2 linked regions of the Oryzias latipes genome follow. The protein of the gene in region 1 binds, or shares a complex with, the protein of each later gene. Links are inferred from orthologs where the notes say so. Each region holds a gene or a part of one and is shown on either strand. Other genes may lie near its edges. The genes, in order: baz1a and chrac1.

The links.
Region 2: baz1a (region 1) and chrac1 share a complex: the UniProt entries of both Homo sapiens proteins name them as parts of the CHRAC ISWI chromatin remodeling complex. The link is inferred for Oryzias latipes from reciprocal best matches to the Homo sapiens genes BAZ1A and CHRAC1.

Annotation. Positions count from the first base shown.
Region 1 is NC_019880.2:2,513,462-2,517,280, forward strand, and holds part of baz1a (bromodomain adjacent to zinc finger domain protein 1A), read right to left. Parts: coding exon 3,706-3,819; intron 3,459-3,705; coding exon 3,279-3,458; intron 3,140-3,278; coding exon 3,041-3,139; intron 1,766-3,040; coding exon 1,678-1,765; intron 1,601-1,677; coding exon 1,475-1,600; intron 1-1,474. UniProt on the Homo sapiens protein: Regulatory subunit of the ATP-dependent ACF-1 and ACF-5 ISWI chromatin remodeling complexes, which form ordered nucleosome arrays on chromatin and slide edge- and center-positioned histone octamers away from their original location on the DNA template to facilitate access to DNA during DNA-templated processes such as DNA replication, transcription, and repair.
Region 2 is NC_019869.2:23,126,363-23,130,889, reverse strand, and holds chrac1 (chromatin accessibility complex protein 1), read right to left. Parts: upstream 2,875-4,527; 5' UTR 2,788-2,874; coding exon 2,635-2,787; intron 2,556-2,634; coding exon 2,429-2,555; intron 821-2,428; coding exon 741-820; 3' UTR 66-740; downstream 1-65. UniProt on the Homo sapiens protein: Forms a complex with DNA polymerase epsilon subunit POLE3 and binds naked DNA, which is then incorporated into chromatin, aided by the nucleosome remodeling activity of ISWI/SNF2H and ACF1.

The sequences.
Region 1 (3,819 bases):
TTAAAGATGATGTTTTGGAGAGAAAGAGACAAATTTGACAGATAAGTCCAGAAAGAACATTTACATTTGCTCTGATATCACAGTTAAAACCCGAACCTCTTGAAAAATCAGAATCTGAACTAAGGTCCTCATGCTTTGGGATGAAGAACGGCGACACTTTCTGTAAAAACTAACGTCACAAAGCAGAGATGAAGCACAGGAGGTCGCTCTTCTGCATCAGCTAAGTCTCTATCAGACAAAGATCTCAAAGCAGACTGGAGTTTCCAGATGTTCACGGTCTTCTGAAGAAGCACAAAGAAACATTGAGGATTGCAGACGCTGTGGTTGGCCAAGGAGACTTTGTGCAGAAGATGAAAGACACATGAAGCTCATCAGCTCAGAACTGGCAGAAACCAGTGAAACCCAAATTTCACCCATCTACTGCTAAGAGAGGCCTGGACACGGAAGAGATGCAAACGGAAGGAAGCTTTTTCTTCAACAGAAGAACCATAATGAGTCTCTGAAGGAAACCTTGAAGCACGCTGGAGGTTTGCGTTTCCATACATGGAAGAGGAGTTCTCCACGCTGAGAAAACACAGTTTACCCGTCATGCACCGTCATCACAGAGGTAAAGACTGGCCCTAAATGTATTCCAAACATCCAGCCGAAGTCGTTAAGGACCATCTTCATACTAAAGTTCTGGAAGTGATGCCATTTCCCCACAGAAATGGCATCACAGAAGGATCCGTCAACGTCTACATCCACAGAAGATCTGGGTTTGGAACCACCTGCCGGCAGAGTTCCGTCAAAAACTGTGAGGAAGTCGCTTTGACCATCAAACACTGATCTTCATTTGGATATTTATTTTGTTGCATTTTGTGGAACCTAACAAACTTTAAAGCCCCCCCCACTACTGCTGCATGGAACGTTTGAGGAGCATCGACCTGCAGGTTTGAGCAGAACCGTGATAATTCTGCTGCAAAACAACAAGAAGAAGAAGCAGACGGTGGATGAAGAAACACAAAGGTTCAATCCCCCACAATCACCCGAGCTGAAATGAGGAAGAAGAGTTTGCAGCTCGGATAAAAATCACTTTTCTTCGCTTCTCTTTCTGTTTCAGCCATTCTGCTGAAACCGGATCATTAACTAATAATGAACAATTACTCATCGCTGCTAAAAAACAAAATTCACAAGTTTACAATTTGATATGATCCTGAAGTCAATTAAACTTTGTCACATTTAATTACAAAATAAAGTTTAGCTTATGAAAATAAGGTTTTACATAAATATCATATTTAACTGAACAATCAAGACTTTAAGAATATAATAACTATGTGCAAAACATTTTTTGTTTGTCAAAAATAACATTTTTCAGAAGAATCACCTCATTCGTTTGATGAATCAAGGTTGCTTTTTTTAAATCCATTTTTTAAATTCCAAACATTTGCATTTCTTCAACAAGACATAGAAAGAACAAATCTGGATGTGCGCGTACCTGTCCAGGTGAGGCGCACACTCCACCGTTGGAGGAGGGAGAGCTGAACGGGACCTGGGGGGGCTCATCGGGGAAGAACTGGGAGAAGGTCTGTTCGGAGAGCTGGTACTTCTTAACGGTGGAGGCCTGAGACGGGAGGACACATCACTCAGAACCGCTGTTCTGACGGTTCGACGGGTCACCGTCCTGACCTCTGACCTCACCTTGAGGATGATGAAGCCCCTCTGAGGCTCGCAGTGCTGCTTGTAGAGCAGCTTCAGCTTCTCTCTGGACAGAGTGGACTTCCTGCGACTGAAAGACGGGGATGAAGGTCAGCAGGCAACTTTGACCGGGGCGTTAAATTTTAACAAAAGAACTCAGAGAAAAGGCCGGCGAAAACCCTCGACTGCATCTGAGACTTTGGGCGAGCGAGTGTGATGTCATCCATAGAAATTAAGTCAATTCTGTCGTCGTTTTTAGTTTTGGATTTTGGACTTTTGAGTTATCTGATTGGTCAATTTATAACTGGAATGACTTAAACTACGGAATAAAATATCATGAAAAAAGGAGGATAATCAAGAACGTGTTGATAGAAAGGTATCAGAGCAAGAATTGTTATTCTGCTCCACAGCTGTTTCAGCACGTACTTCCTGTTTGGAACGCCACGGGGGGAGGAGTCACTCACTCCAGTTCATAGTAAAAACAAGCAGGAAAAAAAAAACTCCAGCAACATCATTTAACGGTTGCTGCACAACAAACTGAGGTTTTGCTTCTTTTGTTCCGTTTTCTTCAGGAGAATACGTTTGTCGTATTTTTATCCAACGTGAAAAAACTAAACAAACTCTGGATTTTAGAGGGAGCGTCTGCAGCCCGACACCAAAGCATCAGTGCTCCAGTTTATCAGTGAAACACGCTAAACCAGCTGGAAACTAGCGCTGGGCGATATGGCCTAAACATAAGATCTCAGATTTTATTTTTTTAAATTCGATTTCCGATTCTTCCCACTTAAGGAAAGCAACAAGTACAAACGACAGACAACTTAAGTTAAAGCAAATTTTGCTTTTATGTAATCAAACGCAAGACAAATGTAGCCCCCATTTCTGGGATGAATACTAAAATGATCACACTCTAGGAAACAAAGTCCCAGCTGTGTTTTGAGTCACACTTTGTAGTCTAGACTAAAAGGAGACAAACATTCACCTTGAGAGTAGCACCATTTTCTAAAACAATACAATTCATATCTGGGGGCTAAGGTTTTAATTAAACTAATAACCCTCGTCTTCTCCACGGTATATATGGGTACCATTTGCAAATGTGTCCCACAAGATCTTAACTTGAGCTGTGACGGTGTGGGATTTTTGATCATCGCGGTGATGAAGCAGCAGGAGTCGATTGAGTTTTTCGTTGTTTTTTTTGTTTTTTTAAATCGCCTGTAACAAAATATTCTAATTAATTCATCCAATCGATTTTTCGCCCAGGCCTACCAAAAACCAGACCATTCAGACTGCAAACCCTAGTTTGCATTTGGATCGGTGGTCACAGAACCTCTCTGAACCGGCAGAACAAACTCCAGGTGAAGCTCCTCACCTGATCTGATTGGCTTTGACGGTGAACGGCTCGCTGTGTTTGTCACTCATCATCCTCACGGTGTATTTGAACACAGAAGGACTCAAAGGCTTTTTTTTCCTGGAAAACAAACGCAGAGTTCAAACTCAAACCAGCATCTGATTCTCATTTCATTAACCGAAACTCAAATAAGGAGGAACATTTATTTTTCAAAGCTGGTTTTAGAGTTTTATAGCAGCACAGAATCTGCCTGACTGACCCTTTGACGTGTACGACGGGACTCTGGAAGGCGTCGTCCTCCTCATCGCTGTCACTGATGACGATGGTGTCCACCTGAGATGGGTCGGTGTGGCCGTTGGTGCCCGTTGCTCCGTTGGTGGGCGCCACTCCGTTGGCGCTGGAGTAAGGCGAGTGCACCTCCAGGATCTCACACATGTGCCTGGAACACAAGATTCAGTTCGGTGTCGGTGCCGAGGTTTCGGAGGTCAAACTACCAACCACAACAAGAACAAACAAAAAAAAAAAAAGTTTTCCCAAAAACACAAAGATTAAAGAACAAGAACACCAATTTCTTTATAATTTTCAGTCACAAACCGACAAATACGGTGAACTGAAACTAAAGCAGCATCTGTTACTATGAAAACTGTGCAGCCTGAAAAGCGATGCGGCACTTCCCCAGTGCGTACCTGGCCCCGTTGCGCCGGCTGACTTCCACCACCTCCCCGGGAAAAAAGCGGTCCTTGACGAAACCGTAGACGTCCTCGCAAAGCTCCACCAGTCGGCTGCGTTGGCTCATCGCA
Region 2 (4,527 bases), on another chromosome or scaffold:
AAGATGTAATTTACAGCTGACAGTGACATTATTGTATCCTCAAAATTGAATACAAACAATTTCTCAACATTCAGAAAATTTTTATGAGTCACTTGGACATGAAAAAAGTGGGGTTTTATTTTAAAAAATGAATATACATAGGGGATGTTTTTAAGATAAAAATATTCCCCATCTACTGATGGGGTTTGGGACACATCTTCAGCTTCTTCTACAATATGCAGACATTTGTTACCATAACCACGTCGTCTTATAGGTGGTTAAGTCATGTCAGATTACGTCTTAGAACAGGACATTAATGCTGGACAACAAAGCATTTGTGGAGTTGTGTTTTAAGGTGGTAGCGAATGTTTTTGCCGCAATTGTGTGTAATGGATTTCCAAGTTTCACTTCAAGTCCATGTACATATTTTACTAAAGCACGGTAGAAAATATGAAGCCAACTATCAAAGCCAAATAAAATAATCTTTGCTAAAACCGTAAACTTACAGCCAAGTAGATTTGTCTGACGCTGAACAGTGTGAATAGTAACATTTGCTTAAATTAATTTCAGCCATTCTTAAAAGACATTGTGTGGCATCTATAATTGAAAGTCTTCATTTCTAATCTTAGAATTATCTTAGTTTAATATTATTTCCAACAAAAAAAAACAACAACACATGAGCTGATCTTACTTAAAAGCAGTAAATGTCTTTGGGAAAGCCCCTTTTGAGTAAAAAAATATTCAAACAGATTAGCTTATTCCTATAAATCCGCATCTTCCTCTTGCATCTGTTCCAAAGACTTCAAGTAATCCCGAGCCAAGATCTTCTTGGGCAAAATATCTGTCAAATAAGAGAGAAAAAAAGTTAAAATCCACATGTTAACACCTTCATTACCCATCCTTCTAGGGTAAAAGCCGAATGCCTTCCAAGCCATTAGCTCCCTACACATGGAAGAATATGCACCATTTGAGAAAAAAGCAAAGACTCAGTGTTTTGTGATTATCTGTACTTAATTACAAATAGGGATTCTGTTCCCACCCATAATGCAGTTATTAATGGCTTAGAAACCCTGTCCAAACTGTGGATACCCCTAAGACATGAGTAGTGTAATACAGGATTAAACTTTAATACCCCCCCCCCTAGAATATCAATTATTAACTTAACAAAAGGTATACTATCTTAGCTTTAATAAGTTTCTGTAATGTTTTATTAGGATTTCACATTAAAAATGTCCTAGTCAGTTAGGGGGGTAAAGTTCTTGAAAAATTATTTTATATTGTCATGAGTTCAAAGAAGATATAAACTAGCACAGAAATGAGGACATTTGTGTTTTGTAGATTTACTAATTGACTGGTTTACTAAACAAAAGTCTTATAACTGCCATCTTGGTTGACCTGCTTTGCAGCCTGTCTCTGACATCTCTAGTCCTATCAAACTTGACCTTTAGTTTGGAGATGGTTCCGGGCTTGTTTTTGTTTTGTTGTTTTTTTTATAGAGGAAAAAAAGCTTCAAGTTGCCCTCTTGCATGATCTCAACAATCAACAGATCTGTTCAAATGATTACAACAGAAACCAACGTGTCATTAAGCAAGACCAATAACCACAGGTGCTGCCAATTATGCACCTGTGGTTACCTGAAGCTCAAAATAAGTCAGTAACAACTAAGACAATTAACGATTAATTGACTTTATAGATAAATCCATTTATCTTCCTATGATCCAACCAGATTGATGCATCTGGGGCAGGTGGTTAAGCGAATTGATCTATGCCATTATAAAATAATTTTAAAATAAAATAAATTGATAATATACTGGTATTGGAAAATACCATTTGGATTTTACATTATCATATAATGTAAAAATGACTGAGTGGATTGTTGGAAATGATCAAGCAATCATTACAGTCCAATGTGTGGAAACAATTTGATTTTTGCAAAGATGTGTGGCCATACAGAATGGTATGATGTTCTAATAATGTATTATTTTGATGTGGAAAAACAACAGTGGGCAGAACTTTAGGGAAAAAATGTGAATGGATTTGCCCTTAATTCTTGTTTACTTCTTTGTTTAATCACATATGTAATTTATAATACTTGATTACCTTGCAAGAAATACAAGGAATCTGTAAAACTACATCGCCGAGTCACACTGGTTGAAGATTTGGCTAAAGAAGTCAATGAACCGGATTGTTCAAAATGAACCAATATCCACTACGAACCACTTATTATGATATGAATTGAATCATTGTTGAAATGTTTATATGAGCTGTTATGTGAGGTGTGCAGTTAATGTAAGCTGTTTAGCTTTAAAAGTGAAGTTTTGGGAGGTATTGTAAAAGTCCAACTTTTAGACTGACACACAAACGCATCTTCTTCAATATGGCATCGTGTATGGGTTTCCAACACTTTAAGAATAACTCAATACAAAGGGATGGAAGGTTGGTGTCTCACCTGTGAGAAAGTGGAAAGTCTCGGTCTCTTCTGCGGTTTTCGCCAGGTCGCTGTATGACAGCGAGTTCGATTCCTTCCCACAGCCGTTATTGAACGAGGACCGAGCCAGGTGCTGGACGAACAGCTCCTGCAACAACACAACCAAGAGAAATGCTAACGATGCTAGACACTCGAATGAACGGAGCTAGCATGAAACTGCAGCTTACTGTAGCCTTGGTGGTGAGAAAGAGAGCGTCTTGGTTGATGCTGGAGACATCTGGAGAGCTTTTCATGATCAACCGGACTCTAGAGATGGGCAGAGAGATTGTCTTTTTAGCGTCTAACGCGGGGTCGTCTTTTTCTGGACGGTTTTGCGACATTTTTACGAAGCTGTTGCGCGACACAGACAAGCAGAACCACAACTATTGTTGTGGATACGCTGCTGGTTTCTTCCTCGTGTTCATTTGGTGTTTGTCAGCTTTTCAGATGATATAGCGCCATCTACTGGAATGGAGTGGAGTCAAACTTTTTTCTTTTTCTTTTTTTTAAATCATGGATTGTAAAAACAACAATGTAGCTCATTAATATTTCTATTGCGCTTTGATACTAGACTTCAAGTGGTATAAAGCACTACTTAATAAACACCTGTTAAGCTCTTGTGTTTACACCACTGAAGCTCCCAAAGGAATTTTCCTAATTTTCTTCCTTCTAATGCCTAGTTTGTATAATAAACAACTACCATAGAAAAATGATTTAAGACTTTCTTTGGCAAACTGATTACATTTAGGGATGATGTTGAGCTGATTCAGAAATTTGTACGGTGTTGCCATGGAAACCGCCATCAGAATAACTGACCAAAAATATAAACGCAACACTTTTGTTATTGCTCCCATTTTTTAATGGTATGAACTCAAAGATGTGAAACATTTTCCACATACACAAAATAACCAGTTCTCTGAAATATTGTTCACAAATCTGTCTAAATCTGTGATAGTGATGAGCACTTCTCCTTTGCCAAGACAATCCTTCCCACCTCACAGGTGTGCCATAACAAGATACTGATTAGACAGCATGATTATTGCACAGGTGTGCCTTAGACTGGCCACAAGGAAAGGCCACTCTGAAATCTTCAGTTTTGTTTTATTGAGGGGACTCAGACAACCAGTCAGTCTCTGGTGTGACCACCATTTGCCTCATGAAGTGCGACACACCTCCTTCGCATAGAGTTGATCAGGTTGTCTATTGTGGCCTGTGGAATGTTGGTCCACTCTTCTTCAATGGCTGTGCGAAGTTGCTGGATATTGGCAGGAACTGGAACACGCTGTCGTATACGCCGATCCAGAGCATCCCAAACATGCTCAATGGGTGACATGTCCGGCGAGTATGCTAGCCATGCAAGAACTGGGATGTTTTCAGCTTCCAAGAATTGTGTACAGATCTTTGCAACATGGGGCCGTGCATTATCATGCTGCAACATGAGGTGATGTTGTTGGATATACGGCACAACAATGGGCCCCAGGATCTCGTCACGGTATCTCTGTGCATTCAAAATGCCATCAGACGCCATCGCATGTGAGCTTTTGCCCACTTAAGTCGGTTACGACAACGAACTGGAGTGAGGTCGAGACCTCGATGAAGACGACAAGCATGCAGATGAGGTTCCCTGAGACGGTTTCTGACAGTTTGTGCAGAAATTCTGTGGTTATGCAAACCGATTGTTTCAGCAGCTGTCCGAGTGGCTGGTCTCAGACGATCTTGGAGGTGGACATGCTGGATGTGGAGGTCTTGGGCTGGTGTGGTTACACGTGGTCTGCGGTTGTGAGGCCGGTTGGATGTGCAACAGAAACAGCTCTGGTGGACATTCCTGCTATCAGCATGCCAATTGCACGCTCCCTCAAGACTTGCGACATCTGTGGCATTGTGCTGTGTGATACAACTGAAGATTTCAGAGTGGCCTTTTCTTGTGGCCAGTCTAAGGCACACCTGTGGAATAATCATGCTGTCTAATCAGCATCTTGATATGGCACACCTGTAAGATGGGATGGATTGTCTTGGCAAAGGAGAAGTGCTCTCTATCACAGATTTAGACAGATTTGTGAACAATATTTCAGAGAACTGGT